2 linked regions of the Mus musculus genome follow. The protein of the gene in region 2 binds, or shares a complex with, the protein of the main gene of each other region. Links are inferred from orthologs where the notes say so. Each region holds a gene or a part of one and is shown on either strand. Other genes may lie near its edges.

Region 1 (4,274 bases), on a different chromosome or scaffold from region 2:
TGTTTTGTTTTGGTCTTTTGTGAATCTCTACCTCCACCCCTATTCTGGGGACCCAGGACTTTGTGTCTGTTCTACCACTGAGCTAAATTCTCAACCCCACATTTTAAAGACTGCAGCAAAGTCACAGGCAAGCAGGACAGACTTTTTTCTTTTTGCCTGACATAGATGTTGGAAAAGGAAGGTCGTGGACTTGGTGAGATAGGCCCTGATTTTCACTTCATTCTTTAAGGGGGACTCTCCTGACCCCAGAAGGATAAAAACAAGTCTTCCAGACGGCAGCCCTCACCTTTCATGGCCACACAGAGGATCCAGTCAACAAGATACTGTGTGTCTTACCATGAGGTCTTCGTCTCGGTCTGGGGACAGCACCAGAGGGATGATGACCTGGTTTCGGAACAGTGGCGTCTTCTCATGCTTTAAGACCTTGTTCAGAGTGTTCAACTGTCCAGAAAGCAATGCAAAGCTGTCCAGGACAGAGGGCCTGGAGGTGGCGAGAAGTCACCAGAGTTACTTCTCCCTACAAAGTAACCTCTAAAAGTCCTAATGCTGCAACACTCAGACTCACCCCGAAGACTCGCAGCCCTGTGTCTGGCATAGGCAAGAACCAGATTTGCTAGTAGAGATGGAATTGGGAAAGAGGAACACACTTTCAATTTTTGACATAGATACAGAAAAAAGGCAACCCACTGTTTGACTGGGTTTGGGAGCAGTGGAAACAGGGGCTGTGGTTACACTGTAGTAAGTCTGTAAAGCCTCCTCCCTAATGTAGTAACAGACTCTATCATTCCAGAAGGCTGGATCTCAGATCCAGCCTCATGTGTGGAAGGAGAGCCACCATAAATGGAGCTATAATGGTCTTCCACTGAGGAAATGCCTCCTCACTAAGGAAGCCAAAGCGTAAGAATTAAAACCTAGAAACAGCCTAGGTTGGGAAACTGGACATTTTTCTACTTCCTTGCCATGGAGGCTTTAAGCCAAACTAAACTTGTCAATGTTGGGCAACCTAGTTCTTTCCAAATCAAAAAGGATATTTGCAAGTTGATAAATGGGTACATCGCTGGAGATGTCCTGTCAGCCAGGGGGCTTGGCCCCACCACCCATGGATCCCTCCCCAGCTTGTCCTGGCAATCCTTACCAGGTCAGCCGGTCATACTCGTTTTCCAACTTGTAAATGAAACTCCCCAGTGAATTCTTCAGATCGGCCACTTGATTCAGCAGGGCATCTAATGATGCCTCAAGCTGCTTCTCCTCCCTCTGCATCAACAGTGTGTTTGGTTACTCAGATACAAGTGAGCGTGACACATTCAGAAAAGCTAAATTGTTTTCTATCTTGGTATTTGGGTTACAGATAGCATCAACCCTTAGACCTTTCAACCTGTTCACCTGGCCTGAAGTCCTCCTACTAACTGATTCCTCTATAACCCTCCTACACTGTGGTCCTTCAAGAAGGTCATTGCACCAGACCTAATTCTCTTTGGCTTGAAACCTCATGATTTGTCTTTGTAACAAAACTGGCTTCGAACTCACTTAGCCTTGCACCTTTTTAATTCCATGCTCTCCTCCTCCCAGCTCTCAAACACTGCCTCTCCCAGTAGACAACATTCTCTTAGATTTGCAGTAGGGTTAATAGGAACGTGCTCAGGTTTCTGCACACTCTTCTTTGTCAGTTCCTCTTCTGGAAAATAGATGTGGCCTGCCTACCTCACGACTGCTTATTGTCACTGCGCTGCTTTCCTTGGGTGGATGAGAATCCCTCGTGTCACTCTGTGGTGTTGGCATTGACACAGTTTTGTTTTGTTTTTTTCAGGAAGTTCAGTTCACCTCAGAAAGGTTTGCCATGATAACAGGGGTGCTATCTGCACACACAGCCTAAATAATTCCCGAAGTTCATTATATCATGGGTGCCTCTGGTCATCCTCTTGTGAGTGTAGCTACTGTCAACCACACAATCTGGACAATCTCACACGTTGCCTCTCTGTAAGGTTTTCTCTGAATACCAGCTCTGCAATCCCCTTCCCGGTCCCCCAACTGGCCGTTTATCCATAGCATTTGGTGCTTTGGAAAGTCAACGTGCATCTTTGTGCCAATATTCCCGTGTCTCTTTCATAATTCGGGTGACCCATAAACAGTGTAGGTTTATCAGATGCAACAAGCCAAGTGAGTAATGAAAGAGTAATGAAAGACAAAGGCGAGGAAACCTGCACATTGTTTCTGAGTGTTAGACAATTTTAAACGCTGAGGCGGCAGAGGGTTTCCGTTTGACTATCTGAGGACTATTTACCCCACTTCTCCGCCCTTAGCAACGAGGTACAAGCCGGGAAGAATGATGCAAAGCTGATTTGCAAACCTGACTATGTGACTGAGGGGGTTGGACACCGGGTTCCACCCACAGCCTCGAATTACAAACAGCTTAGTTTTCATCCTTGGAGGCCCACGATCCCTTTAGCCTTCTGAAGCCTTATGACGCCTGTGTCCAACAGCCTAGATCGAGGCGTGCGGCAGCCCACTACTTTCCCGAGCCTTCCCAAATGCCACCACGATCCTTTTCCACGCTCAATCAAGTCCGCCTTTCCTCCCCGGGCCTCCGACCTTCTCACATCAGCGGGCTCGATGCCCGCGCCTCCCGCAGCTGGCCTCGCTCTCTCTGGCTCCGCTGCCTTTCCTCTGCCCTCCGCTCACAGCCCCAACTCCCCGGTGTCCTCAGCCCAATCACCCTCCCGCCAGCGGCTATAAGGCCCAACCCGCTTCTCACCTGCATTGCCGCGGCCCGGCGGGCGCAACCACTTCCCTTTCCGGTTTCTCGCACGGCTTGCTGCGCTCACCAATCAGAAAACTCAAAACGGGACCATCCCAACAACTTCCGGTTCCTGCCCGGTACAGAACTAGCCGGGTCAGAGGTCAGGAGTGGAGCAACCTCCCTGGCCCGGGCCGGCGCGGGAGGGCTGTGTGATGGCCTCGGAGCGCCCCGAGCCAGAGGTGAGGGATGGGCGGGCGCGGGGCCGAGGCCCGAGGGCGGGCGTGTGGCAGCCTTCACCCTCCGGAGCCTCAAGGAGGCCGTTGCTGTTTTGTTTACTCAGATGCCATCCTGATCTTCGTCGCCCATCCACAGACTTGTTAGCGATAGTGATGCTGATAAAAACTCGTGTTTTGGTTATTAGTTGGGATTTTCATTGTGCCACGCCGAAGCTGACCGACTTTGCGGGGTTTTTTGTATCTCATCTATTGGAATGCAATCAATAGCATGAGTTGATTTCGCTCTAGCGTTCGTGCTCTTGGCAAAGCCCTACAACCCTCTGGCCAGTCTTAACTTAGGACAGACCCTGCTTCCTTCTTTATAAAAGTATTTGTTCTGTGATGTGGCTTGGGGATCACAAGTTAAGGCAGAAAAGGCAGACGAGGCACCCGCCCCCCCACCCCACCCCCCACCCCCTAGATGCAAAGAACCCTATATGTATGTTTTGACATTCAGACTCCAGCAGGGAATCTGGCAGTATTTATTGTCATGTACAGAGCAGACAACTGAAGTCAGAGCAGGTGAGGTGTCATGCCATGCAAAGATACCTTAGGACTACTCCTTCCAACTGAACGAGCGGATCCGAGGAGGTACCAAATTTGGCTAGCGTGTCCAGGACCCCAGAGGGATAGCCTTGTAGGAGGGAAGGTTGATGCATGTGCGTAACGATACAAATAGCAATGGCTACTTGTCGAATTCTTACTGTATGCCAGCCACAATTCTGAGCTCTTTACTGTTACCAGTTCTTTCAACCCTATAAGGCAAACACCATTATCATCCCTCTTTTCAGGAAACTGAGGTGCCACTATTAAAAGAAGCATAGTTGTGCAGCTAGTATTGGGGCTAGAACTCCCAGGTAGGTGAGCTCGCTCTACAGCTACAAGTTGTCCTCTGACCTGCACACGTGCACTCTGACACGGGTGTGATCTTATATATGTATAATGTATGAGTACACACACCCGTGTATGGGGAGGATGTGATAAACTACACACATGAAAACCCTATGAGTGAATAGGGTAGAAACAGAATACCAAGAAGAAAGGGTGATGTTTAGAGAGGCTAGGCTCCCAAAAGAGAGGAAGAAGCAAGTGCTGTTCTGCAACCAGAATTGTGCTGAGGGTTAGGGTGGATGCAGAGGGTAAAACAGAGACTCCTTAGCTGTGGGGACTAAATGAACATTGGATTATAATAGGTGTTGCAGAGGCGTAAGTGAAGTGTCACATTTAGTGGGGCATTTAACCTCCTTCCACAAATGGGTGGG
Region 2 (3,937 bases):
CGTTGGAATTAAATGCCTGGTTCCTCACCTCCCCCAGTACCCCCCCCCCGAAGTATGACAAATTTAAAATTAACAGGTGTTGAGCAGCTCTCAGAAGTACATGTGGTTTTCATTACCTGTTTCCCTTCCGTTTCATGTCTGGATTTTTAAGGTTACAACACTACACGAAGTTATTTCTCCCGAGGCCACTTTCGTATAGTGCACTAAACTCGGAGCCCGCCCTCCATCTGTCCAGTTGTAGGGGTCACCGAAGGACGGAGGACCGCAGCCTTTATACTTGACTTCCTTCGTTTCTTGGTTTGACTTAAAACTCCAGGTGACCTTGGTGCTTCCCTTCCTCCCCCGTGAGGCGTTCCTGTTTTCCATCACCTGAGATGCAAAGGCGGGGTCGCTCCGTCCCCTCGGAACGCCAAGGGGAAGATGCTGGGCGACGGTTCCGCATCCTGCTGTTCAGACACAGGCTGGCCACCTCCAGCCCCCCCCGCCCCCCCCCCGCCTCTAGGAAGGCGACAAAAGCGGTGCTTCCTCTTGAGTTCCAGCCCCGCACGGATGCAGACCCGAGGTGTCAGCGTCGCGCAGGCCTTGCAGACTTGCGTCCTCTGCAGAGGTGGCAGCTCCCAGACGTGACCTTAGGTCCCCGCAGCACGCGGGTCACATGGGGACACGCACTGCCCTGCAGACCCGCGCCTGGGGCCTCTGCAGCGGAGAAGGCTGTGCGGAGCTCCTCCGAGCTCCTCGAGGCACGAGTCTAAACGCAGGGAACCGCTGCCTTCCTCAGATTACCTATGGCCGCTCCAATCCTCTGGTTTCTAAACGCAGGAGGCCCTCATCCGGGGGAGGGTCTTTCCATTCCGCAACCCCAAAGCAGTCAGAAGATAGAGTCGGTGTTCCAGGACTTGAAGGGTGCGCTTCCGTTAGGAAGCCCATCCCTCCAGTCCCGAGTGGGCGTGGCCTTCAGATAGCGTCCGTTGCCACGCCCAACTGCCTCCCAACGGCCCTCTGTGTCGGACCTCGGAACCAGGCGGCAGGACCTGCTAATTGCGCCTGCGCGCGCGTGCGCACAATCAATAGGAGGGGCTCACGAGCCGGACCCTCCCAAACCCGGCGTCTCCACCCGCCCCATCTCCCAACCTCCTCAGCGTGGCGCCGACGCTGCGTGCGGCGCGGGTTACCCAGAGTGCTCAGCGCGGGGGGCAGCTCACTGGAGTTTGGTTCTCGAGGCGGCGGCGGCGGTGGTGGCGGAGGCTCCTCCGTCGGCTCCTCCTCCTCGCTCGGCGGTGGCGGCGGTGGTCCGGGGCCTGAGCTCCGGTCCCCTCCGCTTCCCTCCGTCCTCGCCATCTCCCCGAGCGCCTTGACCTCCTCCGGCGCCGCGGGGAACATGCGGCTCCGTTCCCGGAGGCCGGCGAGTGACTGACCCGCGTTCCCCCTCCTCAGCCTGCCCGCCCGCCGGCCCGGCCGCTCCCCCCCGCTTCGCCCAGGCAATGACAGCGGCTCCGGCGTCTCCGCAGCAGATGAGGGACCGGCTGCTACAGGCCATCGACTCCCAGAGCAACGTAAGTGACTGCCTCGCGATCGGGGACCGAGGCCGCATGTGTCGAGACCCTCCCCCTCCGACGCGCCCCCGGCTAGGGGCTCTCTCCAGGCGGTGATCTGCCCGCCACAGCCACTGCCATCTCGGTCTCTCTTTCTCCTGGGTCCGGGGACCGCAGGCAAGGCGGATTGCCCGGCAGCTGAGGGTACCTGAGGCCGAGGCTTCACGCGGCCTGGACTGAGGGAGCGTTTGGAGCTTTGATCAGAGCTAGTTCTTCTCCGTTGTCCCAGCCCGACCGCCCTTGGTGGTCCCCACCGTGCCTCCTTGCCTCACCTCAACCCTGGGAACTGAGAACCCCCCGGGAAGGTCTCCCTGCCGGGGGCAAGGTGGGAAGCAACTAGTGTCTCCGCGATGACTAGAGTAGCCCGCGTCTCCGGAGTCTTGGCCTTTACTCCCCTTCGGTCTCCTGGCTGAACCTCCTTCTTGGCTAGGAGGGAACCCTAGGCCCGTTCTGCCCCCAGTCTGTCTACCTGTGATGCCTGGAGAGTCTCCTCTTTTTTCTGATAGTGGACAAACCTTTCCTGGGGTCTTTCTAGAAAAGACGACCCTGCAGAGAGTGGGATCCTTCCTGTCATCTTTCTTGGCCTAAATGCTCCATTGCGCATCTGACCAGAAGCTAAAGCATGGGATTTTGGTACTGAGTTACTGCCCGTCATAGTTGATTGTTCTCTTATTCCTACCTTCCGGTCCTCTTTCCATCTCTCTCTTGCCCCTCCTGAGGTGCTTTGGGCCCTAGCCTGTCAAGATTTAATTGTAAGGGGTTACTTTATGTCACACTTTCCTCTGCTAAGAGTCCTGTGAGCAGAGGGACATCTTTTTCTTCCTGTGTGAGCATAGACTAATTTCACCTGTTCTTGTATTTTTCCCAAAGGTTTGTTGGCAGTGTAGGGGGCGGGTATCCTTGTTGCTGTTAGGAGCAGGGCCATGGGAAGATGCACAGGCATTCAGATATGAGGTGTTTGCTGGGAGACCAGGAAGTGGCCTTTGAGATCACTTTTTAATATGCTCGGGATGGAAGAAAAATCATCTTGGGCTTGGACAGGTAACCGAGGTTTGAGTCTTTTGAGTTCCCTTGACTATGCTTGACCAGTTACTCTTAGCAATGTACAATGTACACTGTATTGTGGTGTGTTCAGAATAATTCACATTGTTTGTGTGGTCTTGGTAGAAATAGAGGTGCTCTAGTTTCTATGAGATCTGCTTGCTGGATCCAAAATTATTTTCTTCTTGGTCTTTAAGATCACCTTGATAGTAATTTAGTAAATACTGTAGACATTTTCTCGAGGTAGAATAGGGACAGGCTAGATAAAAATCTTCTAGAAAGCCTTTTTAAATTTTTTTCTTTTTTCTTTTTTTGGTTTAAGGTTTTGTTGGGTTTTTTGTTGTTGTTTTGTTTGCCAGTGATTGGTATTACTGACTGTAATCACATGATTGATATATTAGGATATTAAAAGGTAAAAACAAGAGATAGGAAAACATAGCCTTGATGGCTTTTGCATCTTTGCTGAAGCCATAGTGTACACAGTATAATTTTTTGATGTTGTTTTTCAAGAAGGATTCCTCTTCTATGTAGCTTTGACTATCCTTGAACTTGCTCTTTAGACTAGGTTGGCCTCAGAGATTCTCCTGCCTCTTCTTCCAGATTAAACGATTGCACCACCACTGCTCATCTCTTCCACAGTGGAAATTTTAACTCCTGTGTAACTCCTTTGCTTGAGATCTTATCAGAGATCCTGACTGCTTGTATGTGAGAGTGTTGGGACCAGCAAGCGCTTTGACAGGTAATCATGATGCTATAGATCAGGTGGGTCCAAGTGTTAGGTAAGGTCTGACTAGAAGACCCTTTGTGGGTAAAAGAAGGAAGGTAGACAGCCCAAATTTTAGGTTTTTGTTTTGTTTTTTTCTGAGACAGTCACTGGAAGTCACTATGTATGTAAACCAGTGTAGTCTCACAGAGAATCTGTCTGCTTCTACCTCCCAAATGCTGGAATTAAAGGTATATGCCACCATGCCTGGCCCAAACATTAGTTTCTTGAATTTTCCCTTGGTCATAAGTATTACTATGCTCTTTGGCCTGTGGGTAAGTTGCTTGGAGTGTATATCTCAAAGGGAGACCTTATTGTGGTGGATGGAGTTGAGAACTTGTCTCTGAGTGAGGAGGGAAGTGTTTCCCAAAATGCACTGTCAGTGACCACCCACAAAAACAACTAGGTATATGTGCCAGGGGCTGGCTTTGCAGAATCTCTTTGTAGAATCAGCCTGGAGCACTGTCCTCCATTTCTTGCTGTGGTATTGAAGGGTCCCTGGACATTTGCACTGTTTCCGTGATTGCTCAGGGCCCAGGTA

Evidence for each region. Proteins that work in one complex are often made in the same cells at the same time.
Region 1: Med26 (region 2) and Med8 share a complex: the UniProt entries of both Homo sapiens proteins name them as parts of the mediator complex. The link is inferred for Mus musculus from reciprocal best matches to the Homo sapiens genes MED26 and MED8.

The regions. Positions count from the first base shown.
Region 1 is NC_000070.6:118,407,865-118,412,138, reverse strand, and holds the start of Med8 (mediator of RNA polymerase II transcription subunit 8), read right to left. Parts: upstream 2,803-4,274; 5' UTR 2,759-2,802; coding exon 2,753-2,758; exon of another isoform or gene 2,590-2,752; intron 1,255-2,589; coding exon 1,136-1,254; intron 614-1,135; coding exon of another isoform or gene 566-613; intron 482-565; coding exon 337-481; intron 1-336. Other genes in the region: KICSTOR complex protein SZT2, read left to right, coding at 2,950-2,976. UniProt on the Homo sapiens protein: Component of the Mediator complex, a coactivator involved in the regulated transcription of nearly all RNA polymerase II-dependent genes.
Region 2 is NC_000074.6:72,545,511-72,549,447, reverse strand, and holds the start of Med26 (mediator of RNA polymerase II transcription subunit 26), read left to right. Parts: upstream 1-1,137; 5' UTR 1,138-1,481; coding exon 1,482-1,553; intron 1,554-3,233; exon of another isoform or gene 3,234-3,372; intron 3,373-3,937. UniProt on the Homo sapiens protein: Component of the Mediator complex, a coactivator involved in the regulated transcription of nearly all RNA polymerase II-dependent genes.